Linked DNA regions of Xenopus tropicalis. The protein of the gene in region 7 purifies or fractionates together with the protein of the main gene of each other region. This does not show direct contact. Links are inferred from orthologs where the notes say so. Each region holds a gene or a part of one and is shown on either strand. Other genes may lie near its edges.

Region 1 (4,640 bases), on a different chromosome or scaffold from region 7:
ATAACATACTAGAGATTAAATGAAAACTACCCCTTTAAATGTATCCAGTGTTTCAGTCTGTCAGCTCAGTAATCCAGGTGCAGAACTGTTACTACATTAGTTGATTCTCTTTAGTATATAAATGTAAGCAACTATTGTATCAATTAGAACAGCTGACTTTAATGAAACTCAGCTTACACTCAGCAGGGTCAAAGATGTAAAATGTATCAACTCATTAGTTGCAGATTTGCTGCAGGGAGACATGAGGTGAAAAAAAACTGTAAAATTCAATATTAAAAAAAATTGAAAGCAATTGGAAAAAAAGTCTTCATTTCTGGTGTACTATCTGAAAGCAACTGAAAAGCATTTGAAAGGAGAACTACTCCTTTAATTTAAGCATATATGGGGAAGCTTACAACTGCCTGGATTTTCCTATATCATCTTGACAATAAGCCACAGTTCAGGGGTTTATATTAAGGATTCCAAGAAACATTATCATTCCATATATTATCGCCATGCTTTGTTTCAGTCCTACTTAAATGTTTATTGTTATCCTTTTACTTATATATCCATGACACAGACATAGGAATTATACATCATTTACATCAGTCCCTGGTTCCAAAGGACCCATTCACACACTATGGTCAATTTTTTCAGAGCCAATTAACCTACCGGTATGTTAAAAAAATAAAAGTCAATCACAGCCCTGCAGTCACACAAGCAAATACAGGATTCAGTTCCCTATCAGGTCAGCCTAGCTGCTGATTGGTTCCTATCCTACAGTGTAGTGTGCTGGCCCCCCTGCACAACCCAGGAAAGGCAGAAGGAAGAGGAACACATTGGCATGACCAGTGCCAATAAATCAGCCTAAAACACTACTTTTTAAAGCACATTTCTTCTATATTTAGATCAGTACAAATCATTGGCACAATACTGTTTTTTACACGATATGTCCCCTTTAAAATAATCAAATCACATGGACAAAATATTTCTTGGTACAGTAAATGGTTACTATCATCTATATATATACACAACACATATAAACATACATTTTCTGAATCTGAAAGGCATCTGTTCTAATTTCATTCCTAGAATACTGCAAAACCTTTTATGGCAAAACGTATATTTTATTAACAAATTCATACTCTATAAGGCTACAGCATAGTGGTAAATATACAGCAGTTTTATATTGTATGTACTTGAATTAAAATCATCACTACTCTGAAATTTCAAACAATTGACATTTCACTAAATATATCCTTCAAAAGAAAATTGCCTTGGAAGAATGGCTGGTATTTAAAAATATTACCCTTATAAGGGTTAAAGATAAAAACAAGTAGTTCTATATAAATACAGTACATAAACAGAACTTCACAGAAGACCTGAAGGAAAGTGCAGAACAATTCATTCTCACCTGAATGTCATTATTTTATCCATTTCAGCTTATTCGGAATAAACTAATATTTACTACTATAACTTCAGATGCACAGTGTTACATGCACAATTGGCGCATTGACATTGACAATCCAACACCATGGGCAGCACATTGAACACATTTTATAAGTGGTCAGAAACTTGTAAATAACTCATGAAAGGATAAAGTTACGTTAAAAACAAGCACACCATTGTTTTTCTTGTGAAATTCCCAATAAGTTTGATGTGTCACATGACCCTCTTCCTATTGAAAAAACAAAAGTTGGATCCAAAATGGCCGACTTCAAAATGGCCAGCATGGTCACCACCCATCTTGAAAAGTTTCCCCCCTCACATATACTAATGTGCCACAAAGAGGAAGTTAATATCACCAACCATTCCCATTTTATTAAGGTGTATCCATATAAATGGCCCACCCTGTACACCTATCACATTTATTACAGAAAGACATTTTGGCACTGCCACTCACTTAAGTCGTCTTTCTTCCTGCATCTGTGGCTTGGTTTTTTGAGCTTTGTCCCCCATGCGAGTTCCTTCCAACTTCCCCACCAACGAGAGAACCTCTCCTGTGGGCTCATCTCTGCGGGTACGGTCTATCAGGGAGCGATCAGCTTGAAGTACAAGGTTAGAGTTCTGCATTGCAAAAAATAAATAAATAAATTAGAATTCAGTGCAATAAGCTAGGGGCTATGAAGCTAATGTTTAATTAAGTTCATGTTTACCTTTTTTGCTTCCAATAACACAATGCCATATTTGTTTTCTAATTAACTATAGCTAATTAGATTTTTAGTAGTTTTCCCTGGAATAATGTCTGCTGTGCTTTACACACACTTTTGCAATAAGATCCATTAAAGAAATAAGGAGACAATTTAAGTTACTTTCTCTTTACCTCTCTTACAGTAGAATCACAATTTTACAGTTTCCAAGATTTACAGTTTGACCCTGGAAAACTAAAATCAGGGTTCTCTTGTACTCTTTATGACCCAATACATATTTATAAGCTCTAACCTGGCATGCATGCCATATAAACCATGTAATTTTAATGTAATAATGTAATGAGAGACATCAGTTATCAAATGCATTATCAGAAAGCATAATTGTTGTGTCTAAAAATGCATGGCAGATTCTGTTAATGCCTATAAGAGGGGTCTGGATGAGTTCTTGAACAAGCAGAATATCCAAGGCTATTGTGATACTAATATCTACAGTTAGTACTAGTGGTTGTATATATAGTTTATGTATGTGAGTGTATAGATTGGTAGGTGTGGGTTAGGTGTGCTGGGTTTACTTGGATGGGTTGAACTTGATGGACTCTGGTCTTTTTTCAACCCTATGTAACTATGGTCTGATGTAAACATTGGCTGCCAACTGTGTGTCATATTGAAACTGTAATGCAGCTAAGAGTACAAGCAATGAAACAGCTAAAGCTATGGCATTGTATGCAACTGTGTAAGAACTCAAACTGGCGGCCCCCTATTAATATTCAACAATAGCTACGTCAACACTGTGTTCAATTCCTTCTAAGAATACAATTACAAAGGAAGCAGACTCAGCGATTACAGGAGTCCCAATAGAACACTGGCTTACTCTATTAAATATGTTCCAGAGAAGCCCTACGCGTTCACCCTAAAGCTCCGCACCTGTAGCCGAACTACAACTCGCACTTCTACGTGGCGAACCACAGGCTGAATATTCATGCTAACATCTTCCCAACTCCACTTCTCGTTGCTAACATATTCCCCCTAACAAACTCACCGCTTTGTATTCATACTGCAGGCTTCGGGCTGTTACATCCGCCATGGTTCACTCTGCTGCCCGGCCGTGTTCGCACTCGCAGGGCAAACAACGCGCTCCAGACGAAGTTTCCGGCCCTGAGTTTCCACTTCCGGTACAAGCATAAGCCGCTTCCGTCGACCATTTTTTTCCTTGCAACTTTATTGAAAATCACATACGACCAGTGAAAGGATATCTATTTGTATTAGGAGGCTGAAATAGTTGTTTCAGCTCCATGTATTTTGCACTTAAATATATGTTTAACAAGATATCCCGTCCCTGTTGATAAAAAGCAGCTACACTACATTATACTATATATCCCCACGTTTTACTGTAGGTATTGACATACTAACCTTAAAGAGTTGGCGCTCATGAAACACTACCAGTAATAAAATCAATTTATTTATTGCACAAAAATGAGAAATTCATATATTAAAAAATATCAGTAAAAAACACCTATATTTTTTAATATATGAATTTCTCATTTTTGTGCAATAAATAGATTGATTTTATTACTGGTAGTGTTTCATGAGCGCCAACTCTTTAAGGTTAGTATAAGGAGCACTTTTTGGATTAGTTAGAGGAGGGCAGCTCAACTACATAATAATTTTCCTATATAGCTCACAGAGGTAAACCCTTTTTTTTTTTAATGAATGGAAAAAGCACATTTTGTAATTAATCACTAGTTTATTTAGAAGCGCGGATCAGGTTTGTATATGTAGGTATTGACATGCCATATCAAGGGTTCTGCATAACACATTGGCCTGTATAGGAGGAAGACACAAAAGCCATTGCCCCAAAAGAACCATGTAAAAGTACAACTGGTGTTTGGCAAAACAGATGGGGACCCAGAGAAAGCTCTTCTTCCAAATTTCAAGCAATGGCATAGTCCAAGTCCCAGTCCACCTGAGAATCTGTGATGCTATTTGAAAACGGCGATGACAAGGATCATCTCAGTTACCAGAACCTGAAGCACAACTACTTCACATAATGGGCCAAAATGACTTTCGAACAGTGTACAAAGTTGGTATTAATCAACATATAACAATATTATTTTAACAAAATAGTCACATTAAAAATTTTTTTTGAGATTAAGTGCTTTAAAAGAAAAACCAAGGAGAGCAGGATTTCTTATTCAATAGTCAGGGGTATGAATAGGTTTTCAGTGAACTATGTATGACTTTAAAATATACTCCTTTATTGCAGGAGTTCAACCTCATGTGACACACAAAAAAAAAAAAAAAAAATGCGCTGTAAAGCTCGGTGTAATGTATACATCCAGTTGAAAATCTAGGATTTTTCAAACCAATAGGTAACTGTGTGAGCGGCATATTAAGCGTTTCCTTTGTGGATGAATGCGCTGTTAAATACTTACCTGAAGGTGTATTCACGAAGCTTCTTAAAGAGCAAATAAGATTGTATGTACACGAAATAATAACCATAGGTAACCACTA
Region 2 (4,446 bases), on a different chromosome or scaffold from region 7:
AGATTTTTTTTAAATACATATAAATAAGCCAGGTTTTGTCAAGAATTGTCAACAAAGAATGCTCTTATGATACTTTAATTAAAAAAATGTCCTTAGTAAATGGTAGCCCAGTAGCTTCGACAGTTGGCCCTCAAATCCTGTTCCTACCACATGGCTCTCTGAATGCCAGACATTTGGTTGTTATCGGCTAGATGACGGAACACAATTCGACTTAGCCGCCAACGTCTTTTTACACCCCGTGGTCGAGAAGTCAGGACACAGCGATTACGGATTCTTACAGGGCAGCTATCTACTGGAAATGCAGCAATTTCTTTATCTGCCACTTCCTGTGAAAAAAAGAGAAACAGATGATTTATTTTTCCCCAGTTTAATAAATGTTCAAAAAGACACAAACATCAGAGGTAAGCTGGCCATATACTATGTGTAATTTTTGGCCAATGAGCCCAAGGGGTTCTTGATCAAACCTGCCCAATCAGATCCATGTGTGGCCACTTTTAGACTGATCCTTGGTGAGACAATTGGCTGCTGTAGTATCACATTAAGCTTTATTTATCAACTTGTATAATGACCAGCTTCTTCATTTACTATCTTGGCTGTGCTTTGAAACAGAATAAGTTATAAACATGCACCCAAACTTAAGAACATGTTAATAATTACAATTTCTTGCCTTACAAAAGCATAAGAACGACAAATGTACACCATATAAAAAAAAGTTACAGGGAGTGAGAGCAGATAGATTAATGCGTACTTAGCATTGAATTATTGTGTGCATAATGTTGTGGGATTGTTATTGTAACAGCTTGAGAGCATTAACCCCCACATGTAATTAAAGGCACTAAGTTTGCCCAGGAGCAGTAACCAATAAGATGTTTCCTTTTATACAGGTAACCAGAAAATTCTACCTGCTGATTTATCGCTATGGGTTACTGCTCCTAGGTAAACTTAGTGCATTTTACTGCATAACCCCTTCAATTAATTGGCATATGCAACCTCTAAAGCATGTGTGTGATCACTATAATCATTTTAAGGAGTAGGATATAAAGTTGTTGTTTGTGATCACCCAGTAGTCCAAACCAGAGGAGAGGAACAACCTTCAGATGGTTAGAACAGGTGGTTTGTAGCATCTTGGTAACCGTATTTTTCAAAATCAAACTACCAACTATAGTATCTATAGTAAATATGGGGCATTTGCTCCGATGTACTGAATTGCTTAAATAAAATACCCGCAGTTCTTTAGGGAGAATAATGTTTTTCCGCAAAGCATTGACTCTCAATCTCTCATCAGCGTATTCATATGCCATTTTCCTCCTTTTAACATCCCGAAACATCCTCCAGTCAACGTAGTAATTTCGGACTTGATTTGTACAAGTTGCAGAAGGCCAAGGAAACAACTGAAAAAAAAAAAGATTTTTTTTAACAGTACAGGTATGGAACCTGTTATCCAGAATGCTTGTGACCCAGGGTATTCCGGATAAGGGATCTTTCTGTAATTTGGATCTCCATAACTTGAATCTGCTTAAAATCATTTAAATATTGACTAAACCCAATAGGGTTGTTTTGTCTCCAGTAAGGATTAATTATAGTTAGGACCAAGTACAAGGTTCTGTTTTATAATTACAGGAATCATAGAGAAAAAGGAAATCATTTTTAAAAATTAGAATTATTTGCTTATAATGGAGACTATGGAAGATGGCCTCTCCGTAATTCGGAACTTTCTGGGTAACGGGTTTCCGGATAAGGGGTTAGAATTATCGATTAATATTGTAAAGTATTTCTGGGGCCATACATATCATAATCTACTTGTTTGGCCATTCTGATAACAAAAAAAAATGGATACTTCTGCATTTTGGCCACTGAAGTGTAAGCCAATTCCAGATTGTCACTCTGGGCCTGCTACTGGTACCTTTACGCGTGTTTTCTCTTGGAAAGGAAAAAATGTTCATCCCTATAAGCTACTGTAATGAGTCCCTAGCGTGGGTGGTGAGGGATGTAATTAATAATAAAACAAAGTCTACAGCATTTGGAACAAACATTCCTCCCCAAAAATGCATTTATTTCAAAGTTTTCCAATACCCTAAACATAAATGGCTGCTGCATATGTACCATTTAAAAATGATCAAACGCACATGTTGGCCAAACCAAACATATTACTACTCTTCTATATATTTATAATATAGTACCTGGCCACGCTCTTGAAAAAGTTGTAATGTTAATTAGCAAGATAAAGGCGTATAAACCTCCAGTGAAGAAAATATAAGCCACATGTCATCACTGATGCTATTTGAGAGGCCCCGCTACTCCTATTTTACATGTAAACAGGCCTTATTGGGGCGCTTAGTATCTGGCATAGGTTCCCAGACATGGGACTTTTATTCACTTGATTATAGGAAATACATTTTTTTTAATTATAAGTATTTAGCTGCCCCCCATTCAAAGTGTTTATTTGGCAAAAACAAAAGGCTCCATATAACTTGTGAATATATAACATTGGTGAAATACCCCAATGCTAGGCTGCACGGAGAGTAGCACTACCTTCCATAATTCAAATAAACAATACTAGAGGACTCTTATTTTCTTCAGTTATCCCTGAGATTCTTCCGCTGCCGGACTTCCAAGGGCAGGGACCCTATTGCGTGTGAGTGCCGCTGGTATCACTACACCCTTTATTTAGCTCTACTGATTTACTCATTGTCTTCCTCCCCGCAGCCCTTTATGCCCACCAGCCTGTTGTCAATGTCATCGTCCCATTTACCTGCCGAGCGCTTCGAAACACACTCCCCAGCATGGAAGCCGCCATCTTGTTTTTAGACGCTATTCAAAATCAAGCAACTTTGTTACTTACAAGCGGCGTGGCTTGTATAGACTTACAATGGTGTGAACTATGCCATTGCGCCAGTAGATGGCAGCAAGCTTTAAGATTGTAAAAAAATCCGCTGAAGGTCATCCGCATTCGAATTTATATATGAGGCGTTAGAAGTTGGAGCTTGAAGCATTTTGACCCAATTTGGGCCTCGTAGATTATAAGGCTGGCACAGTCTGAATGTTATTATATTTATTCTAGTAAGTGCAAAATGCACAGTTAAAACAATTGTGTAGCATTTTGCAAATGGAAAGAGGGACAAAAATAAATGCTGCAGCCTGTGGTGCGATTTTTTGACCATGTCCATTTCTGTGACCACACCCCCTAAATACCACTCCCATTTGACTAAATTTGGCAGGTTATTTAAAGTTTGAACACATTTCTGGTGAGTTTTGGGGTCCTGTTTTATGTGTTATTATAGTTTTGATGAAAAAGGTGAAATTTCCCTTTAAGCTGTAAGTCTCAGTTACCCCAAGAGCATACCTCCCAACTGTCCCGATTTTGCCACTCTGTCCCGCAGTCCCTGATTGCCGCAGATTTGTCCCGGTTTTAAAGTTCTCTGCTCCCGTGACGTCACATCACGTCTTTCATTAGCACCGCAGCTTCTGCGCCGCTCAGTTCAGTTCTAACATTTAGAGATTCACTGCGCAGAAGCTGTGGTGCTCCCGAGAGACATGCGTGTGACGTCACGGGGAGGAGAAGAAGAGCCGGGTGGCGCAGCTGGAGCAAGCGGGCGGGGGTGGTAGGAGCAGGGGGAGCCACAGAAAGCAGGGGGACGCTGGGGAGGACACTGGAGGAAGGTAAGGGGCAGCTGGAGGACGCTAGGAGGCAGCTGGAGGAAGGTAAGGGGCAGCTGGGGGATGCTGGGGAGGACGTTTTGGGGGAGCTGAAGGATGGTGGGGGGGACGCTGGGAGGAGCTGGAGAAAGGTAAGGGGCAGCTGAAGGATTTTGGGGAGGATGCTGGGGGGAGCTGGAGGATGTTGGGTGGATGCTGTGGTGAGCAGGAGGATGCTAGGGGGGAGCTGGAGGATGTTGGGTGGATGCTGGGGGGAGCTGAAGGATGCTGGGGAGGACGCAGGGGGGAGCTGGAGGGTGTTGGGGAGGACACTGGGGGGAGCTGGAGAATGTTGGGTGGATACTGGGGGGAGCTGGAGAATGTTGGGTGGATGCTGTGGGGAGCAGGAGGATGCTGGGGGGAGCTGGAGGATGTTGGGTGGATGCTGTGGTGAGCAGGAGGATGCTGGGGGGAGCTGGAGGATGTTGGGTGCATGCTGGGGGGAGCTGAAGGATGTTGGGGAGGACGCTGGGGGGAGCTGGAGGATGTTGGGGAGGACACTGGGGGGTGCTGGAGAATGTTGGGTGGATACTGGGGGGAGCTGGAGAATGTTGGGTGGATGCTGTGGGGAGCAGGAGGATGCTGGGGGGAGCTGGAGGATGTTGGGTGGATGCTGGGGGGAGCTGAAGGATGTTGGGGAGGACACTGGGGGGAGCTGGAGGATGTTGGGGAGGATGCTGGGGGGAGCTGGAGGATGTTGGGTGGATGCTGGGGGTCTAGAGGATGTTGGGAGGATGCTGGGGGGAGCTG
Region 3 (4,006 bases), on a different chromosome or scaffold from region 7:
GATTGACAGGGCATAAAGATAATAGGCAATATCTGCGGAAAGACACAGAAAAGGAAAAAAAAAAAAAAAGAGAGCGCTGCTTTTCTGCACTATCTGAACCAGTAGCTGAATTTTCAGGTGAGAGTGACAGGTCCACTTTAAAGGTGAACTGCTCCTTTAATACAGATGAACAATAATTGGGGAAGGGGGCAGAGCTAAATTAAAGCAAAGTACACACAGGAGGAGCCTAAGAACTGCCCCGCCTCTAGAGAAATAACCATGTCTGCCCTCAAACCCCCAACACACTTACCGTCCACGATCTTTCTTTTTCTTCTTTTTCTTGTGTTTGGTGGGAGAAGGGGAGCGAGAACTGCCAGAATCTTCAATCAGACTACAAGAGGAAGAATCTCATTAACCCATTAAGTCCTCAGTGTACAGGAAAATGCACTGGAGGAATGCCATTCCCCCACATACCATGAAAGCTAATTCTTACCTATACTGCTTCTGCTGCTCCTGCTGTTTGGCTGCTGCATTGGCAGCTCTGCGATTGGGGTCGAAACTGCTCCCGTCCACATAGCTGTCACTGATCCCGAAAGCCTCACGTAGCCGCTCATTCTTCTTCTCGTTTGCTTCGGCCATTTGATGCGTCTCTGAAATACTAAACACAGAGAAAGTGTGTAAAAATGGGGAGTAATAAACAAATAGAATCAGTTAACATGTGCTTACACAGTGAAAATAGCTTCTTGCAGCCCCAGGTGCACGCTGTACCCACTGACGGGCAGATAAATACAAAAATGAAGAAAACAGCAGCACTCCGGTTGTTTTGAAAAATGTGAGTCTTTACTCAAGTGCCAAAGGCAACGTTTCGGGCTTCACTCCAGGCTTGATAAATGAGATATACCCTCCAATAAAGGCTTGCAGCTCACAAAGCTTAGTTTGGCCACTTACTTGGCTTTCTGCTTCTCCTCTTCTTTGCTTTGCGTCAGATCTTTCTCTTGCAGCATCAGTCTGAATGTGGCCACTTTCTCTTGGATCTCAGCTTCGCTGTACCTGGAGCGCACACAGAAGAGCATTGAGAAATTAAGATAGGGTATTATACAACTTGAAACGTTTCATTTGCTGCTTCCTTTAAAGGGGCATCTCACATTTAAATAAACTTATGTTATAGAATACCCTATTTTTAGCAACTTGTCCATTGGTCTTTTTTTTTTTCTATTTGCCTTCCTCTTCTGCCTTTTTGCAGCTTTCAAATGGTGGGGCCACTGACCCCAGTAGCCAATAATCCTACTGCTCTATGAAGCTACAAGGTTATTGTTACCGTTTACTTATATTTCGATTCAAGGCCTCGCCTATTAGTCTTCTTGCCTTTCATTCAAACCACTGCCTGGTTGCTAGGTTAAACTGGATGCTAGCAACCAAAACCTGCTAAAATCCCAAATGGTAGAGCTGCTAAACAAAAAGCTATCTTGAAAAAAAAAAACAAAAAATGAAGATCAAATGCAAATGGTCTTAGAATATCACTGTCTCCATCATTTTAAAAGTTAACTGAAAGTGCACTGCCCCTTTAAAGGCAAACTATACCCCCAGAATGTATACATAACCAACAGATAGTTTATATTTTGTTAAGTGACCTATTAAAGAATCTCCCCAAACTGGAATATATATATCAGTAAATATTGCCCTTTTATATCCTTTCCCTTGAGCCGCCATTTTGTGATGGGCTGGGTGCTCCCTCAGAGATCAGCTGACAGGAAATAATGCAGCTCTAACTGTAACAGGAAGTAGTGAGGGAGCAGAAGGCAGAACTCTGTCCATTCATTGGCTGATGGGGCCTAGCATGTATGTGTGCCTTGGCTTGTCTGTGTGCACTTTGACTCCTATGATCCCAGGGGGCGGCCCTTAATTCTTGAAATGGCAGTTTTCTATTTAGGATTACCCAATGGCACATACTACTATAAAAGTATATTTTTATGAAAATGACTTATTTCGATGAAGCAGGGATTTACAATATAAATATGCAATATATTTGTTATAGAGACCTACATTGTTTGGGGGTATAGTTTTCCTTGAAGTGAATTTACGCGACTCTAAGCTAGTGTGCATACTTAGTGCTAGGCAGCCAGGCCTTCTAAAGTTCATTTTTTAAAGCAAATAGCCTCAGGGCCTGAACTAGGGGTAGGCAGAGGAGGCAGCTGCCTAGGGCGCAACAATTGGGGGGCACCAGACAGGAGCCTCTCTTGCCCACCCCTAGTCCGCTCTTTTTAGTCATTGCCCCTGCCGCTTGTCATGTGGCACAATGGTGAAGTGCAGAGCTGCCACACTGTAGCAATCTATATAGCATAAATGGCAACTAGTCCTATACAGGTATGGGACCTATTATTCAGAAAGCTCGGGACCTGTGGTTTTCCAGATAAGGGATCTTTCTGTAATTTGGATCTCCTACCTAAAGTCTGCTAAAAAATTATTTTAATAATACAGGTACTGTTTTATTATTACAGAGAAAAGGGAATCATTTAACCATGAAATAAACCCAATAGGGCTGTTCTGCCCCCAATAAGGGGTAATTATATCTTAGTTGGGATCAAGTACAGGTACTGTTTTATTATTACAGAGAAAAGGGAATCATGTAACCATTAAATAAACCCAATAGGGCTGTTCTGCCCCAATAAGGGGTAATTATATCTTAGTTGGGATCAAGTACAGGTACTGTTTTATTATTACAGAGAAAAGGGAATCATTTAACCATGAAATAAACCCAATAGGGCTGTTCTGCCCCCAATAAGGGGTAATTATATCTTAGTTGGGATCAAGTACAGGTACTGTTTTATTATTACAGAGAAAAGGGAATCATTTAACCATTAAATAAACCCAATAGGGCTGTTCTGCCCCAATAAGGGGTAATTATATCTTAGTTGGGATCAAGTACAGGTACTGTTTTATTATTAGAGAAAAGGGAATCATTTAACCATTAAATAAACCCAATAGGACTGTTCTGCCCCAATAAGGGGTAATTATATCTTAGTTGGGATCAAGTACAGGTACTGTTTTATTATTACAGAGAAAAGGGAATCATTTAACCATTAAATAAACCCAATAGAATTGTTCTGCCCCCAATAAGGGGTAATTATATCTTAGTTGGGATCAAGTACAGGTACTGTTTTATTATTACAGACAAAAGGGAATCGTTTAACCATTAAATAAACCCAATAGGGCTCTTCTGCCCCAATAAGGGGTAATTATATCTTAGTTGGGATCAAGTACAGGTACTGTTTTATTATTACAGACAAAAGGGAATCATTTAACCATTAAATAAACCCAATAGGGCTGTTCTGCCCCAATAAGGGGTAATTATATCTTAGTTGGGATCAAGTACAGGTACTGTTTTATTATTACAAAGAAAAGGAAATCATTTTCAAAAATTAGAATTATTTGCTTATAATAGAGACTATGGGAGATGGCCATTTTGTAATTTGGAACTTTCTGGATAATGGGTTTCCGGATAACAGACCCCCATACCTGTACTGGTTTAATGTGTCTCTTACCCTTGCTCCTCCATCATCTCCTCCAGTTCCAAACATTTTAGCTCCACCTTTCTTTTCCTCTCGTGATCTAAGATATCCTGGTTTGGTTTCTTCACCAGGAGGTTTTCCAGCTTCTTCAGTTCCTCCTCGGACTTGTAATCGGTCCTGTCCTTCTTGTGTCTGACAGAGGACAGGTTGCGTTGGACGTAGCCATTGGTTCCACTGCCCCTTGGGGTGGGGAGTCCGATTCCATTGTACATTGTGCTCCTAGGGAGTCAGGGTCCTAAAAGAGAGATAAAATAAGATGTTGGTAGAGCAGAAGAGTTTGCCAAATCCATAGATCCGTTGGGCCTGAGAAACGAGGAAACAGAAGTTAACCCCACGTGGCCAAGTAACATCCAAACCAACACCTGGCAGATGTCTATTTGCACCACAGTTCTGCCTGGTTACCGGTTTTCCATAGTTTGTATTTTCTGCAGTATTTCTGCTTTAAGTGGCAGGAAGCA
Region 4 (4,006 bases), on a different chromosome or scaffold from region 7:
TGCGTGTGCTGGGCTCCATGCACTCAAAGGTCACCATTTTAATAGGTTTGCGTCTCTAAGCTAAAGCTTCCTTTTCACATGGGCCCTTTCATACAAATCCCTAGGGTCCCCCAAATGAATTGGATAATGTTCTGCAATGCAGGACCCCAGGGGTATTTGTACATTTGCTGCCCTGAGTGCTTTGTTGGCACTAGAATACATGGGCAGCAGGGGAGAGAGACTTGGAAAGGAAATGACAAACACTGACCTAACAATTAGTGGCTTAAAACTAACGAGAAAAGGCCGTCCCACTGGGAACATTCCAGGCATATGAATAAAAATATATAAAAATGAAATGTCCCAATTTTACAGAAGGCACTAGCGTGTTCCTCATACCTGAATGGTGTGGACAGCACAGTGTTGGGCGTCTGTACCACTTGTCTTTGAGGTGTAACTCCTGAAAAATCGCTTTCGTGAAGAGGAGTGTTGAGACCTCCCTTTAATGGTGTATCCACATTGGTGAGGGCCATCAGATTCTGCGCTTCCTGTAAGGTACAAAAATAGGGGGTGGGTGCAGAGAAAGGCACTTTGAGCTATAATGCACGCTTTGTAGAACTCAGAACTAGTAGCAGATGAGTTTCAGTCAGTTTCTTCTAATTCCTTTATCGCTGTGCGCACATTGTAAACTTATGTGACCATTTTTTAAAAAAAGTCCCCAATTTCCTGTCTGTTTGGTGGGGTTTTGGACAGAAGGTCCTCAATTTCCTGTCTGTTTGGTGGGGTTTTGGACAGAAGGTCCTCAATTTTCTGTCTGTTTGGTCGTGTTTTGGACAGAAGGTCCTCAATTTCCTGTGTGTGTGGACAGCCTGCAGGCAACCTGTCTGGGTACCCAGCAAAAGTGCGGGAGTGAGTTCCCCTGGGGATGCTGGTCTGGCTGGGTGTGCCTGACTGGACCTTTGCAGTACTTTAGCAATGGCTATAGATTTACAGCAGGAAAGGGGAATTATATCTTGGAAGTACAGTTTTGGTCCACAGTAATCAAAAAATGGCATTAGTGAAACAGAGAAAATCCAGAAAAGATAAAGTAAGTTAATATAGGGTATGTAAAGTCCAAGTTGTTGAACAAAGGTTGGCCAATTGTGCTGGTTTACACCAAATATGGGACCCATTATCCGGAAACCCATTATCCAGAAAGATTCACATTCACAATATTTCACATTTTTAAAAAATATTTAATTTCTCTGTAATAATAAAACAGTACCTGTACTTGATACCAACTAAGATATAATTACCCCCTATTGGGGGCAGAACAGCCCTATTGGGTTTATTTCATGGTTAAATGATTCCCTTTTCTCTGTAATAATACAACAATACCTGTACTTGATCCCAACTAAGATATAATTACCCCTTATTGGGGGCAGAACAGCCCTATTGGGTTTATTTAATGGTTAAATGATTCCCTTTTCTCTGTAATAATAAAACAGTACCTGTACTTGATCCCAACTAAGATATAATTACCCCTTATTGGGGGCAGAACAGCCCTATTGGGTTTAATGGTTAAATTATTCCCTTTTCTCTGTAATAATAAAACAGTACCTGTACTTGATCCCAACTAAGATATAATTATCCCTTATTGGGGGCAGAACAGCCCTATTGGGTTTATTTAATGGTTAAATGATTTTTTAGCAGACTTAAGGTATGGAGATCCAAATTACGAAAAGATCCCTTATCCAGAACACCCCAGGTCCCGAGCATTCAGGATAACAGGTCCCATACCTGTATATTAAATTACACTATCTCCTGGTGAAAGCCATGGGACAAAAGTGCATCCCTTCAGACCAGAAGAAAGGTGGTTTTATCTTAAGGAGGGAAAAGAGTTCAGAAGAATAAAAAGAAAAAAAGAAGGCAAGGAACAAAAAAATTCTACAAAATAACAGAACTGAATATAATTTAGAAACATTGCACCCGTCACAGCGTGGAAGCACCCATGTACCTGCAGTATGCGGTCCTGCGCGGCTGGTGTCTTGGGCGTCCTGAGGGCCACACTATTATTGGCGACATTGTATTCCGACAGTAACGTGCTGGAAGCGGAATTGGTTATACCCGACTCCTCTGCCGTCTGACGAGCTATTTCACTCGCTTGCCCGATCTTTACCACTTCTTCCAGTTCAGCATCTGAAATCTAATGCAACAGGAGAAAGTGTCATTCCGGGGCATGTTTCTCGCCACACGTATTTATCATTGAAAACACAAGGTGGGTTACACACAACACATTCCTTAGAGATTCCCTATAGATTGGCCAATTCTAAGCAACTTTGCAGTTGGTCGATAGTTTTTGAATAATGTGCCACCTTCTTCTGACACTTTCCAGCTTTAAATGGGGGTCACTGACCCCGGAAGCCACTACTGAGAACTAGTGCTCTGTGAGGCTACAATTTATTGTTACTTTTTTTACTATTCAGGTTCCCTCTTATTGATATATCAGTCTCATATTCAAAACCCTCCCTGGTTGCTAAGGTAAGTTACACCCTGGCAACCAGATAACTGCTGAAACCCCAAACTGGAAAACTGCTGAACAGAAATTCAAAACATTAAAAAACTACAAATAAAAATTAAGACCAATTGCAAATTGTCTCAGAATATTACGCTCTACATCATACTAAACGTTAACTCAAAGAACAACCCCTTTGGGATGGGTAGTGCTTTTCTGACTGCTGCATTGGCCCCAATTATTTCCCAAGAATCACCTGCACCCCAGGAATTAAGTACTTCCAAATGTAACTCTATTTCCATTACATTAAAAAAACAAAGAATAATGTCCCTAATACATATGGAACAGTTTATGGAGTCTTTGTTTTATCAGGAGTTTCTGCACAGTTAATGAAAGATGTATCATTTATTTTCTTTTTAAACAACTAAAAGTAAAACTTGCCATAAAATTGGCATGCCAAGTGCCCCACCCACCAATCCCGCATTCCACTGCCAGCCTTGAGATTTTAAGTAATTCCCAAAGTTGCAAAGCTGCCATATACTTGCACTGAAACGTCACCTAAAGCTAGCTAGGCATGTAATGTCTGCTGGTCATTTGGCCCCGACCAACATCAGATTATAATTACTGCCTATGCAAATACGTCCCGATAGCTATCTGGTAAATTTTAAGTTAGCTATCAGACGGGCTGTTTAAACACTGCATGGCCAAAAAACTGCCAACTTGTTCTGCAAGGGCCAAATTAGCAGCTAATATCTGTCCAATAAGGGTGAAGACACACAGAGCTACTAGTAGCTGCTACTTTTTCATGGCTACTAAACCCCAGAAAATACCCTGCCATAGACAATACTGAGACAGTTATCAGTAAATGATCGGCATTGTCTATTTTAGTAGCTGCTACTAGAAGCTCTGTGTGTCTTCGCCCTTAAATGCACTGATCAACCAGCTTGGTAACTAGGATATTACCTATAGGAAACTGTTTTAAGGCTATTTTTTTAAAATGTTTACGGTGTCTGATCACTAAAGCAGGGATTAAGTTAGAAAAGAGTGAGGTCCTGGCAATGGAGAAGGATTACATAAACTATCTACAGTGGAGGAAATAATTATTTGACCCCTCACTGATTTTGTAAGTTTGTCCAATGACAAAGAAATGAAAAGTCTCAGAACAGTATCATTTCAATGGTAGGTTTATTTTAACAGTGGCAGATAGCACATCAAAAGGAAAATCGAAAAAATAACTTTAAATAAAAGATAGCAACTGATTTGCATTTCATTGAGTGAAATAAGTTTTTGAACCCTCTAACAAAAAAAGACTTAATACTTAGTGGAAAAACCCTTGTTTGCAAGCACAGAGGTCAAACGTTTCTTGTAATTGATGACCAAGTTTGTGATTGATTCTGTGGACAGGTGTCTTTTATACAGGTGACTAGTTAAGACAGGTGTCCTTAATGAGGTTGACTAATTGAGTAGAAGTGTCTAACCACTCTGTGGGAGCCAGAACTCTTAATGGTTGGTAGTGGTTCAAAAACTTATTTCACT
Region 5 (4,006 bases), on a different chromosome or scaffold from region 7:
GTATCTTTTTTGGTGTTCGGTGCAGGAGATCAAAGGGAAATGAGGGACTTTTCAATAAGAATCCGAGACTGTGGGCTGAGCTGTTAAAATCGGCACTTTCCCTTGAAAATCGGGACAGGTGGGAGGTATGCTTTGAGGAGTTTTTGGGTCGGGATTCAGGATAAGTGTCAATTCGCTTAAGGGGGCAGTAAAAACTGGGAAGTTCCTCCCCTATTGTGCCTATTATATGACATATAGCACAGCAGGAGATGGTGTGTTGATGGGCTGCTGACACTTAAGGGGCTGGGGCATTACTGATGTTATTCCAAAGCAAGATCATCCTATTACCTTTAACATATGTGCCCTGGGCCTATCCTTGCCCCAGTTTCTAATTGCTCTCTCTCTTCCTGCCTAGGATCCTACTTATGGGACTGATGTCATGAGTAAGTGGAAGAACCTTCTAGAGGAAGGTCACCTCCTATCTCACAGTGCACATGATGCATCTATGGACCCATACCACAGGTACCAATTACTCCCCTAGCCCTTTAGTTAAGTATTAGGTGGGCATAAACTATGTGTAAATCATCCTCCCAATGAAAATGTACCAAATAAATCACCCCCTTCCTTTCATAAATATCAGTTTCCTTGTTTACCTGGCGTTGGGTTGTGATGCTTTCCGAAGCTGCCCATAAATAAAGCACCCCCCGGTCACTAAGGGGTTAACTAGAGCAAATGTGGAGACAAAATGCAATTGATTTTTTGTGGATCATAAACTTTTAATGTGTTGTTTAAACCTCAGTGTTATTCTCTGTTCCAATGCAGATTGCTGTGGGAGACGTGGGTTCCCCTGTTGAGGAGTATCATTGCCCAATGGCAGCCCAGAAACTGCGCTCCCATGGTGGACTTTTTAGACTGCTGGGTCCATTTGCTGCCAGTCTGGATCCTGGATAACATACTAGATCAGCTTATTTTCCCCAAATTACAAAAAGAGGTAAGTAAGTTCCTTTGTTATCACTTATATGTGTGAGCAAACATTATTATGTCGTGGGCCACAGTATTCTCAGCATCTGGGCTTAGTACAAGAGAATGAGAGTGCTGTATTAGTCAGAGCTGGGCCAAGGCACCCATGGTTTTATATATTAATGTCATTCTTTACATTTCTGCATTAAGGTTGAGAACTGGAACCCCCTGACAGACACCGTCCCAATCCACTCGTGGATTCACCCCTGGCTTCCTTTGATGCAGTCGCGGCTAGAGCCACTCTTCTCTCCCATTCGGAATAAACTTGCCAACGCCCTCCAGAAATGGCACCCCAGCGATTCCTCTGCCAAGCTGATCCTGCAGCCCTGGAAGGAGGTGTTTACGCCAGGCTCTTGGGAAGCCTTCATGGTGAAGAACATTTTGCCAAAGCTAGGTGCGCTGGCGCTAATAAGAACATCTGTGTGTTTATCCACAATTTCATTTATTTACATTTCATAACAGGAATATCCAGTCCTATCTGTTCGTATATCCTGCTCTTTCTACAGTTTCAAGCTGAACTATGCTACTAATTTAGCCAATAAAAATAAATATTTGGGATTTATGTAGTAATATAGGTAAAGCTTCCCCCAATCAGTATTCTATAGCAATTAATCAGATGTTTGCTTTCATTATTCTGATTGCACTATATAAGTTAAAGCTGCCATCTTGTTCCTATGGGCTATTGGCTCAGATACAAATTACTGCTCCAAATGAGCGACCCATGATAAAAGTAAAGTGGCCACAAACCAGCTGACTTTTGGGGTATCCAAGGATTTCTCCCAAGCAATGTGCATTCCCTCTCCTGCTAAAATGGGGGTTCAGTTGCTCATCTCATGTACAGACCTCCAGTGACTCTTCTCTCTCCCCCTGTAGGCATGTGTCTCAGTGAGTTTGTTATTAATCCGCACCAACAGCACATGGAAGTCTTCCACTGGGTCACTGACTGGGAGGGGATGGTCTCTTTGTCCAGCATCGTAGGGATCCTGGAGAAACATTTCTTCCCCAAGTGGCTGCAGGTAACTATATTGTTGGAAACCATAATGGCTTTGCATTGAATTTGAATTTGGAATGTTTTACTATAAGAATCATTATTGTTTCCCCAAGTAGAAGTAGTCTGTGTTTGTGCACAGCTACAGGAAGAATGATATGCCCTGTTATAATAAAACCATAAAAGATAAATAAACCTTTAAAATAAATGAATGTAAAATTGCTGAGATTGCTATTCTAAGCACCTTTGCTGTTTTCATGTATTATTTTTTTATTCTTAAGATATTAAAGAACAAAGTACTGTTGACATTGTTTTACAACGGTGAATTGTGTTACAACAGTGCCATCTGCTGGTCAGTGTCCGTCCATGATGACGATGTTGTCAGGAGAAAGAAAGAGGGCTGATCTGATGCTCTTCTGGTTAGGGAAACATTAGAAACCTCAGATAACTTTTTCTCATCTGAATGTAAATTGCAAAAGTGCTTAGAATAGCACCCCTATCAATTTTACATTCACTTATTTTTAAGGTTTACTTATCCTAAAATAAGCCTTTCTGCAGTGTTTGTGGTTGGTAATAGGCTTCTCAAAAGCAGAGTTAAAAGAAAATGGCTCCTGTCAGCACACAGTAATAAAGCAGTAACTCCATGTATTAGGAAATGCGAGTGTTGCAGCTGTGAGGATAGATAAATACAGTGTTTCCTTATTGCCCTTCTGCTTCTTCTTAGGTTCTGTGCTCCTGGCTCAGTAATAACCCCAATTATGAAGAGATCACCAAGTGGTATCTCGGCTGGAAGTCCATGTTCTCAGACCTGGTGTTGGCTCACCCGGCCATCAAGGACAAATTTAATGAGGCTCTGGATATCATGAACCGGGCTGTGTCCTCTAGTGTCGGTAAGTAAATATATATTCTCCTATTCATATCTGCTCCTGTTTAGTAGGCTTCTGGTGGGCAAAAAACGGATCTGCCACTGTGTCAGTGAAGGGACGAGATAATAGGGGATTAATCTAATGTTATGTGAAGGATAAAGCAGTGATAGAAGAGCTGACATTATTTCATAGCTCTTCTCCCAATGCATCAGACTCTAACATTATTTCTTTGAGGGATTGAGGCTGTAGAAGAAGAGCTGATGGTCTTTCTTTGAGGGGTTAAGTGGGAGAAGAGCTGACTGTATTTCTTTGAGGGGTTGAGGCAATGGAAGAAAAGCTGAGAGGGCCTATTATTATATCCATAGAAGACCAATTCGATACCACTATGAATAGACTAAACAAACTTGCAGTGAGACTAGAATAGATGCTGTATGATTATATGAGTATAACAGTGCATTTGGATTACGGTTTGATGAGCAATGTTTGGGTGCAGTGGGTGCCGTGCCTTATGTTCTTTATTCAGTACATGACCCAACTGTCTCTTACTTGCCTGTTCCAGGTGCCTACATGCAGCCGGGGGCACGGGAGAGCATCGCCTACCTCACGCAGACCGAGAGAAGGAAGGACTTCCAGTACGAGGCTATGCAGGAGCGGCGAGACGCGGAGAGCATTGCTCAGAGAGGAATAGGGGCTGCAGCGGCTGTGCCCATGAACTTCAAGGACCTGATCCAGTCCAAGGCCGAGGAGCACAACATCGTATTTATGCCTCTAATTGGCAAGCGTCATGAGGGGAAACAACTTTACAACTTCAACCGCATTGTGATCTATATAGACAGAGGCGTTGTGTTCGTACAGGGAGAGAAAACGTGGGTGCCCACTTCCCTGCAGAGCCTTATTGACATGGCCAAGTAGACTTCTAGTCATACGGCAACTGTCAGCCACCCCTGGACTCTGTATATACCTGTATCTAATGGATTTGATAGTGTTCGAATACATTGATGGGTAGCTGATAGCACTTCCTATGTGACCTACTGGCTTCTTGTTTCCGAGGGCTTAATCCAATGAATAGAGACTGACCTGCAATTATTTTTGTATTTAATAAATCCACATTGCCCTTGTGTACCCAGGGGTCTAACCGCATCCCAGGATCTTT
Region 6 (4,560 bases), on a different chromosome or scaffold from region 7:
AACTTATACAGTGTGGTGATTGAAGGGCGAGTAAACTGCCTGTTGATTCACTTCTCACAGTGATGGGAGCAGGACAGTGTGACTTTTTGGTATAGAGTAAATATATTCTCTCATATTTCTCTATGCCTTTTGTTTTTCCCTTCCTATTCTCCTTGGACAAACAATTCCTTCCAATAACAAAATAAACTAATTTAACAATTAGTAACTTAAACCAAGGGAACGGAGGGCTTTTAATGATGATCATGGAATTTTACAGACATCACCCTGTTAACCCTGCCCCTACACAAATAAAACTTACCTTGGGCCTTGAGAATAGCTGCTTTTCCTCTGCCGGCACCAGAACCCTGGTTTTTATTCTTCATACTCTTTAACATGGGAGCATTTTTCAACATGTCTGGGAGGATGAGAAAACGAATTTTGCTGCCTCTGATGTAGACCTGTTCTAGTTGTGCCACTCTGCCATCCCTGTACGTTACAGTGATGTTTGACATCTGAAAGTCAAAGTACAATTTAAGCATCCATGGAGGGAAGAAAAAAGGACACAGGCTTAACATACAGCACTATGTGAGGAATTCTATTACAATGTTTTATATTTATAAAGCTTTAACGGGATCGTGTTTGACTTCACACTCATGTCTCCCCCTTGTTTAGCTCAAAGAATAGCCAAAACCATGTTCTTTTCCTGGGAGACAGCACCAAGAACATTCATACACAGTAGAAGAATGTTTAGAAGACCAGTCTTTGCAGTTTTAAATTTCCTTTAATGTATATCCAAGTTGCGTAGAATTAAATTTTTTCATTACAAAAACAGTTTTTGGCTGGAGGACCCTTTTAATTAAAATAGCCAAAAACAACCTATTTATTGTACAAGGTAATATACAGCTGCGTTAAAATGCTTTAGAAACACTGCTATAGTCTATACCAGTAATGCCCAACCAGTGGCTCCCAGTGGACTTTAAGCAGGTGCTTATTTTTTGTAATTTCTGGTAAGGAGGCAAGTTTCTGTTGCATAAAAACCAGCTGTATTGCCAGCACAATCCTGTAGGCTTCCAGTCCCCATAAGGGCTACCAAATAGCCAATAACAGCCCTTATTTGGCAACCCAAAAGAATTTTTTATGCTTCATTTGCTCCCAAACTCTTTTTACATTTAAATGTGGCTCACAGGTACAAAAGGTTGGGAAACCCTGGTCTATAGAAATAAAGCTGCATGGGGGCAGCTATTCAAACAAAGAGGGCTGAATGGCACAGGTGACAAAAAGATAAGCTCTGTAAAATACAATACAGCTTATGTAACCAGCACCTTTAGGGCTCTGGCACACGGGGGAGATTAGTCGCCCGCGATTAACTCCCTGTTCGCGGGCGACTAATCTCCCCGAGTTGCCTACCCCTGCCATCCCACCGGCGAACATGTAAGTCGCCGGCGGGATGGCAGACGTGGCGGCGCGATTTCGCGCAAATCGCCGAAAAAGACTCGCAAGTCTTTTTCGGTGATTTCCGGAAATCGCCCCGCCGCGTCTGCCATCCCGCCGGCGACTTACATGTTCGCCGGTGGGATGGCAGGGGTAGGCAACTCGGGGAGATTAGTCGCCCGCGAACAGGGAGTTAATCGCGGGCGACTAATCTCCCCCGTGTGCCAGAGCCCTTACTCAGTTTATCCCAGCTTGGATGGCTGCCCCCACTGATACACAGCAGCTTATTTATATGAACTATAGTAGTATCAGTGGGGGCAGCCATCCAAGCTGCTGTGTGTTACTGAAGCAAACACCAGTTCTACCAGTGCAGGGTAACACTACATCGTATTTTGATTACTTTGAAACACTTACATAGTTTAAAAGAATAGGAACACCAAAATATGTTACCGTTTGGCTTCTGTGGGTAGATAAAGGAGACTTTTCTCCATGTTAAAAGAGAAGTTTATACATGAACAACAGAAGAGTGCTTAGTAAAAAGAGCAAAAGGAAATTGTCACCCTAAATATTTTTTAAATTACACAACAGGAATGCAATACGGGTGTAGCCACACCCCACTAACTAGGCTCCTGTAACTAACAGTTTAAAAGTGCATAGCAACAACAGCATTTACATATTTTACTTCTGCTCCTTATCACTGAGCTTTACTGTGAATATACTGACATCTAGAGACACAGCTAGGAAATTGAAATAGATTAGGATTAAAGGAGACATTGTATAAAAATTAAGAATGTACCAGTAAATTATACTCCTCTAGATATAGAAGGACTGTGGTTTAAAAAAAATTGTTTTTTGGACTGTTTTATTGAGAAATTCCACCAAAACCCTAATAGTCCCGCCCATCTGTTCCACTTCCTGCTGGCTGGATAGGAACCAATCAGCAGCTAGGATGACCTGATAGGGAACTGAAGCCTGTCTCTGCTTGTGTGAGTGCTGGGCTGTGATTGCCTTCCCCCCTCCTACTGTGCTTCTGGCAGGGACCGTTAGGACACGCCCACCCTTCATTTTAAACAGGGACAGAGAACTGATAGGATCTACAGGGAGCTCCAATAAAGAGGCCATATTTACAGATGAGTATTTTTTAGCCCAAATGAAACCCGCAGCATATATTGTTCATAATTGTCTACAAAATTAGGTTTTTTTTTCCCCTATTTTTCCATGTCTCCTTTAAGCTATTTACGCTTCTGACCACAATATAACTGCTTCTTTTGCAATGGATAGGGTAACCGAGGCACTATATAGGGAATAAATAGGTGCCTTTTGGAAAATACTTTGCCCCTAACAATTCACACACACATTTTTAGTTTAACACAGCCTTTACAATTGTTGGTCCATAAGGTCTATCACTAGAGTTTATACTGCAATCACCAACGTACTTACAAACATGGCATAAGGTAAATATTTATAAGTTTAGGTGCACTTGCTATAGATATAATACGAATGACTTGCTTATTTTACTTACTTGGCAGTTCATGTTATCCTCTGCTTCAATCAATTTCCCCCTGTATACCTCTCCGGTGTTAGTTTCACATGTCACAATGTGGCCTTCTGCCTCATGAAGGACTTTAATTGGTACACCGATAGACATATTGAGAGCTAATGGAGATTAACCTGCAATTGGAGAAATAAAAATTAGCAAAAAAACGTGGAGAACATACAAAGCGCAACGCAGGTTACTGCATACAATGCAGCCATGTGCAAACTATAAGGTATATTCAAATAAAAATCCTTATTACATAATGTTTATCCAGCCTAAAGCTTTAATCACTTACAGTCTATAAATTCAGCCATACATATGCACACAAACATGCCCAGCCCTTCAGAAACACATGCACGTTAGGACATCGCAGCAGCACAACCCGCAGAAGCAGAGGAGTAACCCTCAATGAATGAGTTCCCTGGGATACTGGCACTGAGGCCTACACAAACGTTTCAGTGCCCCCGGCCTAAGGCAGGAATATTTATAGAAACGGATAACGGACTGGTAACACAGTGAGATGCGTTGGGCCCGGCACCCTGTATATAACCTCACCATAAGGCAATATTTAGAGGGAAGCCCTGCTCACACTCATACAAAGCTGCCAACCGCACAGACCTAAGGGAAAGCGAACAAGCGCCGAGTAACCGAGACGCACACCCCGCCCAGATATCCGCACGCTGCAACCCCCGGGCCTCTCTGACAATCCTGCAAAGCGCAGACTTTTTACCGAACTTTTGTTTGCTTTGGGTAATACTTACTAGCGTGGCTCTGTTCTGCGTTCTAATGGCGTCCCGCCTGCCCCACAATGCACAGCGAAAGGAAACAGGCTGTCGTATCTCTCTGCCCCCTTTTCCCGGCGACTGCACAAGCAAACAACTTCCGGTGGGAAACAGATATGAGTGACTTAGTTCCGCTCATCAACCCATTTATCTATTCACACCATTTAAGAGCGGCTAGTTGCACTGCAACTTTTCATATTATATATTATGAATTATTATTAAATATCTTGAGCTGAAACCTCCAATTAGACTCAGACGTGCAATCTGTGGATTGTGATAAATGCCAGAAGGGCTGCTGTAAGATGTCACAGACACTATTTATTGGGGTGATAGGGGGCTATTTGGGTATCCGCGTATAATTAAATGCCAAGGCCCCATTTCCAGTCCGCACCTGATCAGACTGTTTCTTTTAGTCTGCGCTTTTAATAGGTGCTGATTCTGACTTTATTAACTGAATTGGCAGACCGCTGGCATATGTATGGGCCCAGAATGATCAGGCTTATTTTGTTTATATATCTGCTGAATGCATTGTTTCTGAACTGCCAGAAAGCACATGCAACATTAAGTAAAATGGACAAAATGGCATCTGTGCACAAAAATGTACCCCTGCTCACTGCTGTAAAATGTAGATTCACCCCCCATTCTACCATGAATGTATGTATGTGCACATACAGGACTGGAATTAACCTGTCACTGCAGCCTGAAACTGCTGTTTGTGCCATTAGCCTAAAATTGCAGGCTGCGCTAGTAAAACCATCACATAATCTTGAGGTAAGGGTAATGGCATACACGGTTTAGTTGCCCATTGGCTTTCCCACAAAAGGACAACAA
Region 7 (4,693 bases):
ATGCCACAGCATTCTGTCTGATTCATATACCTAATATATGATTAAATAAAAATTCAATACTATTTTGGCCCAAAAATGCCCCTAGCAAGTAATATGCTGCCCGCACCAGGAGGGGGCTCCCGTTGTGGGGTGGGCATTTTAGGAATAGAGTCTAAGCTCTATTACTGTGCGCATGCGTGTTATGTCACACAATGAGCCGGAGACCGGAGTATCACTCATTATGCGCATTCGTGTGAACAAACATGACTGCCCACTCCGGAGCTCCTTTCCGCACCAGATGGTATAGCGCACCCCCAATGAATGAAATTACTAACTTTTTTTCAGGCCAGTACTCCTCTTCAGAAAATGAGCACCAGGCTGCCATCTTACCTGCATTGATCCCATGTGCCAACCTACACAGGGTCAGACTGGGGTATGCAAGTCCCACTGGGGCACCTAACTCAGGGCCCCCCACTACCCGCCCACTCAAATCCCGCCTGCCCCTTCCCCCCCACTACCCGCCCACTCAAATCCCGCCAGCCCCTTCCCCCCCACCGTGTGCAACTTTGACTTACTTTTACCAGGGTTGGGGAAAGTATGGCAGCAGTGAGTAGCAACGGGGAGCAGGTGGGGATCAGGTCTGGGTCGTTGGGGCCAACCAGGTTTTTTCCCTGTATCCCACTGGCCCAGCCCACCCACTCCATGCTTATCTTTTTGACATAGGAACAATAATGTGCTCTCTACACAAGTAGAGCCAATTTCCATTTAAAAGGGGGAAATTTGGCTCTTAAAGAAGAGGCTTTTTGCCGCCCCTAGAAACTGCCCACTTACTGCCAGCTGAGGCAAGGTTCTCAGACAAGTGCGGTTCTAAACGGATCTCTGGGTAATGCAGGTAAGATGGCAGCACCCATGTTGGTGTGTTTTTTCTGAAGAGACACTCTAGCCTGGGTAAAAAAACAGCAATTTAAATGACAAAGTAAACATAATAACAGAGGGTGGCAATATGTTAATTGCCCCCAGTTTTTTTTGAATGTTACACCAACTCACAGTACAAAATGGGGGGGGGGGGGGGGTCCTTTGCAATGCTACAGTTTCAATAAAATACAGACATAAATAATACAATTTGTCCTTAAAAGAGATTTCCACCCATCCCTATTAATAACATTGGGGTGGCAAACCTATCCAGATCTGATATAAAGCTGGTTTCTGCTACATTGTTTCATGGGTCAGAACCAGCAGTGCAGATGATATAAACTACCTGATACTTCTTTCAAGCGTAATTACAGTGAAAATCATATTTTTATTAATAAAGGCTACTTATGTATGTAGCACAGTACAGCACAACAACAGAGTAATACATGTTTTACTATAATAACAAATACAAAGCATAATTACATAAAAAAAAAGTCTATAAAAGACAAGGGGAATGAGACCCCTCCCCCGTTGAGCTTACAGTCTAAGGAGGTGAGTAATTTAAAGACTCGAAGTAGCTTAAAGTTACATTTTCTTAGGTAAACACTTCAATATTCTACCCGCACTAATTCTAAAATACCAACTGCCAGACTACCCTCACGGACGGTCTGCGGGCTAATAAATGCTACAGGCTGAGAATCACTAAAAATAGAGCCCGCCACAAAAACCAGCGGAGCTCTTTCTTCTCGGCCTCTGTCGCGGAGTAATACATCTACAATTGTGTTATAACCCTTGTTCCGAAAGGGGCGTGGTTTAATGGCATCTTGCTCTTGCCGTGTGCGCGGAGGGATTCGGATCTGATATGCAGTGCGGCCGTGGCCTATTCACACGACGTGCGGCCTAGGTGCAGTGAAGGAGACGGGAATTTCCCGGGTGTGAGGCGCCCGGTTTGCTCAGGACAGCGGCGTTGATAGAGGCTGAGTTCCGGGAACTGTCTCGGTACGGCTGTGGGTAAGCGTTGGGTGTGTGATTGAGGAAAGTAGCGTTAGGGTTTAGGGCGCTCCCATGTGTATGTAGTAGAACTAGGCCGGGGCCTTGAGATTGGGCGCCAGAGCCATGCATGAGAATGGCGGGTTTGCCTCATGTGCGCGCTAAGGCTCTCCGTTCTACTGAATAGGGTGGGGGCCCCGCACTGAGGCGGAGCGGTATGGGCTGCGGTGGCGGAGAGTTACAGCCGGAGTTGTGCAGCGGTTCCATTCTTTGGTACGGGGAATCACGTGGGGCCCCAGTTGCAGACATGGCGCCCGGATATAGGAACCTGCGGCTGTAAGGGCGACTGTAGGTACGGCTCTGACGTGTTTCTCTGCCGGAGTCTGTGGGGCCACTTATTCTAGCGTTGTTTACATGTGGAGAGTCCATATGCTGAGATGTGTAGCCGCCAGTTCTTCTTCCACTATTCTCTTTGTCTTTTCCCACTGGGCTGATATCCTGGTGGCCCCTATTCTCCCAGTTTTTCCCTAATATAGGTTCCTATGGGTATTTCCCCTTTATATTGGTACCTGTGTGTGTTTGTAGTGCTGGCCTGGGGTATCTGTAGCCTCCTGTCTCCTTCCTGTATTTCCCCTTTATATTGGTACCTGTGGGTGTATGTAGTGCTGGCCTGGGGTATCTGTAGCCTCCTGTCTCCTTCCTGTATTTCCCCTTTATATTGGTACCTGTGGGTGTATGTAGTGCTGGCCTGGGGTATCTGTAGCCTCCTGTCTCCTTCCTGTATTTCCCCTTTATATTGGTACCTGTGGGTGTATGTAGTGCTGGCCTGGGGTATCTGTAGCCCCCTGTCTCCTTCCTGTATTTCCCCTTTATATTGGTACCTGTGGGTGTATGTAGTGCTGGCCTGGGATATCTGTAGCCTCCTGTCTCCTTCCTGTATTTCCCCTTTATATTGGTACCTGTGGGTGTATGTAGTGCTGGCCTGGGGTATCTGTAGCCTCCTGTCTCCTTCCTGTATTTCCCCTTTATATTGGTACCTGTGGGTGTATGTAGTGCTGGCCTGGGGTATCTGTAGCCTCCTGTCTCCTTCCTGTATTTCCCCTTTATATTGGTACCTGTGGGTGTATGTAGTGCTGGCCTGGGGTATCTGTAGCCCCCTGTCTCCTTCCTGTATTTCCCCTTTATATTGGTACCTGTGGGTGTATGTAGTGCTGGCCTGGGATATCTGTAGCCTCCTGTCTCCTTCCTGTATTTCCCCTTTATATTGGTACCTGTGGGTGTATGTAGTGCTGGCCTGGGGTATCTGTAGCCTCCTGTCTCCTTCCTGTATTTCCCCTTTATATTGGTACCTGTGGGTGTATGTAGTGCTGGCCTGGGGTATCTGTAGCCTCCTGTCTCCTTCCTGTATTCCCCCTTTATATTGGTACCTGTGGGTGTATGTAGTGCTGGCCTGGGGTATCTGTAGCCTCCTGTCGCCTTCCTGTATTTCCCCTTTATATTGGTACCTGTGGGTGTATGTAGTGCTGGCCTGGGGTATCTGTAGCCTCCTGTCTCCTTCCTGTATTTCCCCTTTATATTGGTACCTGTGGGTGTATGTAGTGCTGGCCTGGGGTATCTGTAGCCTCCTGTCTCCTTCCTGTATTTCCCCTTTATATTGGTACCTGTGGGTGTATGTAGTGCTGGCCTGGGGTATCTGTAGCCTCCTGTCTCCTTCCTGTATTTCCCCTTTATATTGGTACCTGTGGGTGTATGTAGTGCTGGCCTGGGATATCTGTAGCCCCCTGTCTCCTTCCTGTATTTCCCCTTTATATTGGTACCTGTGGGTGTATGTAGTGCTGGCCTGGGGTATTTGTAGCCCCCTGTCTCCTTCCTGTATTTCCCCTTTATATTGGTACCTATAGTAATGTATAGTGCTGAGAATGTTGTGTGTACGTCTCAGCATTCCTCTTTGTGTGCATAATTAGGAGGAAAAGGGAGGTAAATGAATTGGTTCTAGAGAGCAATTTTCCCCCCTTTAGTCCAGTCGCTTGTTTACCATTCCCCCTGCACCTGGCCACACTGCCATCTTTCAGGCTGCATTCACGCACTTCAGGGCCTTTATTGCAAGGTGATGGTAATACGCTAGCAATGCCCCAGATTTGCATGTGTGGTGCAAAGTTTAAAACCTTTGTCCTACCTGGCCTGTAAAGGTGTCTGTCAGGTACTGTAGTGTCAGAAACCCAGTGGCAGTAACAAATCAAGTATGTGATTGGGGTTAAGAAGAGCCTCCCTGTATAACAAATAGTTTTGAGAGAAAGCGGCTGAACAATCCGCTAAATAATTCAGAGTTTGCAAATAAAAAATAAAGGCAAAAAATTGCAAATTCTTAGAATAACTCTACATCATACTGAACGTTAAAGGGGGTTGTTCACCCTTAAGTTAACTTTTAGTTTGAGACAATTTGCAGTTGGTCTTAATTTTTTCTTTGTAGTTTTTCTATTTTCAATAGTTTTGTCAACTCTCTGGTTTGGTTGCTAGGCTCCAAATTACCTTAGCACCCAGGGAATGATTGGAATGAGAGACTGATAATTGAATAGGAGAGAGACAAAGTAACAACAATAAAAGTGTAGCCTCACAGAGCAGTAGGTTTTCTTGGTTTAGGGGCTCGATGACCCCCCATTTGAAAGCTACAACGAGTTTGTAGAAGGTGGCAAATAATTCAAACTATAAGCGAAATAATAAGGACCAGTTGAAGAGTTTCTTAGAATTGTCCATTTTATAACATGCTAAAAGTTAAATTAAAGGTGAGCCACCCCTTTTAATGATCCAGTAT

Evidence for each region.
Region 1: the proteins of snrnp70 (region 7) and snrnp200 fractionate together in Homo sapiens (co-fractionation; 3 studies listed by BioGRID, with this or other methods). This does not show direct contact. The link is inferred for Xenopus tropicalis from reciprocal best matches to the Homo sapiens genes SNRNP70 and SNRNP200.
Region 2: the proteins of snrnp70 (region 7) and mrps14 purify together in Homo sapiens (affinity purification with mass spectrometry; 3 studies listed by BioGRID and IntAct, with this or other methods). This does not show direct contact. The link is inferred for Xenopus tropicalis from reciprocal best matches to the Homo sapiens genes SNRNP70 and MRPS14.
Region 3: the proteins of snrnp70 (region 7) and srrm2 purify together in Homo sapiens (affinity purification with mass spectrometry; 3 studies listed by BioGRID and IntAct, counting the BioPlex papers as one, with this or other methods). This does not show direct contact. The link is inferred for Xenopus tropicalis from reciprocal best matches to the Homo sapiens genes SNRNP70 and SRRM2.
Region 4: the proteins of snrnp70 (region 7) and cdc5l purify together in Homo sapiens (affinity purification with mass spectrometry; 3 studies listed by BioGRID and IntAct, counting the BioPlex papers as one, with this or other methods). This does not show direct contact. The link is inferred for Xenopus tropicalis from reciprocal best matches to the Homo sapiens genes SNRNP70 and CDC5L.
Region 5: the proteins of snrnp70 (region 7) and tfip11 fractionate together in Homo sapiens (co-fractionation; 3 studies listed by BioGRID, with this or other methods). This does not show direct contact. The link is inferred for Xenopus tropicalis from reciprocal best matches to the Homo sapiens genes SNRNP70 and TFIP11.
Region 6: the proteins of snrnp70 (region 7) and snrpd3 purify together in Homo sapiens (affinity purification with mass spectrometry; 6 studies listed by BioGRID and IntAct, counting the BioPlex papers as one, with this or other methods). This does not show direct contact. The link is inferred for Xenopus tropicalis from reciprocal best matches to the Homo sapiens genes SNRNP70 and SNRPD3.

The regions. Positions count from the first base shown.
Region 1 is NC_030679.2:125,100,081-125,104,720, forward strand, and holds the start of snrnp200 (U5 small nuclear ribonucleoprotein 200 kDa helicase), read right to left. Parts: upstream 3,307-4,640; 5' UTR 3,214-3,306; coding exon 3,169-3,213; intron 2,047-3,168; coding exon 1,883-2,046; intron 1-1,882. UniProt on the Homo sapiens protein: Catalyzes the ATP-dependent unwinding of U4/U6 RNA duplices, an essential step in the assembly of a catalytically active spliceosome. Plays a role in pre-mRNA splicing as a core component of precatalytic, catalytic and postcatalytic spliceosomal complexes.
Region 2 is NC_030680.2:98,126,081-98,130,526, forward strand, and holds the start of mrps14 (28S ribosomal protein S14, mitochondrial), read right to left. Parts: upstream 3,173-4,446; 5' UTR 2,798-3,172; coding exon 2,753-2,797; intron 1,392-2,752; coding exon 1,224-1,391; intron 327-1,223; coding exon 144-326; 3' UTR 1-143.
Region 3 is NC_030685.2:12,492,395-12,496,400, reverse strand, and holds part of srrm2 (serine/arginine repetitive matrix protein 2), read right to left. Parts: intron 3,784-4,006; 5' UTR 3,761-3,783; coding exon 3,522-3,760; intron 1,030-3,521; coding exon 928-1,029; intron 638-927; coding exon 473-637; intron 371-472; coding exon 290-370; intron 1-289. UniProt on the Homo sapiens protein: Required for pre-mRNA splicing as component of the spliceosome. As a component of the minor spliceosome, involved in the splicing of U12-type introns in pre-mRNAs.
Region 4 is NC_030681.2:148,154,480-148,158,485, forward strand, and holds part of cdc5l (cell division cycle 5-like protein), read right to left. Parts: intron 2,162-4,006; coding exon 1,973-2,161; intron 525-1,972; coding exon 376-524; intron 1-375.
Region 5 is NC_030680.2:15,115,485-15,119,490, forward strand, and holds part of tfip11 (tuftelin-interacting protein 11), read left to right. Parts: intron 1-394; coding exon 395-501; intron 502-801; coding exon 802-970; intron 971-1,149; coding exon 1,150-1,393; intron 1,394-1,872; coding exon 1,873-2,015; intron 2,016-2,711; coding exon 2,712-2,877; intron 2,878-3,412; coding exon 3,413-3,765; 3' UTR 3,766-4,006. UniProt on the Homo sapiens protein: Involved in pre-mRNA splicing, specifically in spliceosome disassembly during late-stage splicing events. Intron turnover seems to proceed through reactions in two lariat-intron associated complexes termed Intron Large (IL) and Intron Small (IS).
Region 6 is NC_030677.2:152,605,175-152,609,734, reverse strand, and holds the start of snrpd3 (small nuclear ribonucleoprotein Sm D3), read right to left. Parts: upstream 3,082-4,560; 5' UTR 3,059-3,081; coding exon 2,933-3,058; intron 492-2,932; coding exon 299-491; intron 1-298. UniProt on the Homo sapiens protein: Plays a role in pre-mRNA splicing as a core component of the spliceosomal U1, U2, U4 and U5 small nuclear ribonucleoproteins (snRNPs), the building blocks of the spliceosome.
Region 7 is NC_030683.2:113,680,744-113,685,436, forward strand, and holds the start of snrnp70 (U1 small nuclear ribonucleoprotein 70 kDa), read left to right. Parts: upstream 1-1,663; 5' UTR 1,664-1,902; intron 1,903-2,193; exon of another isoform or gene 2,194-2,233; intron 2,234-4,693. UniProt on the Homo sapiens protein: Component of the spliceosomal U1 snRNP, which is essential for recognition of the pre-mRNA 5' splice-site and the subsequent assembly of the spliceosome. SNRNP70 binds to the loop I region of U1-snRNA.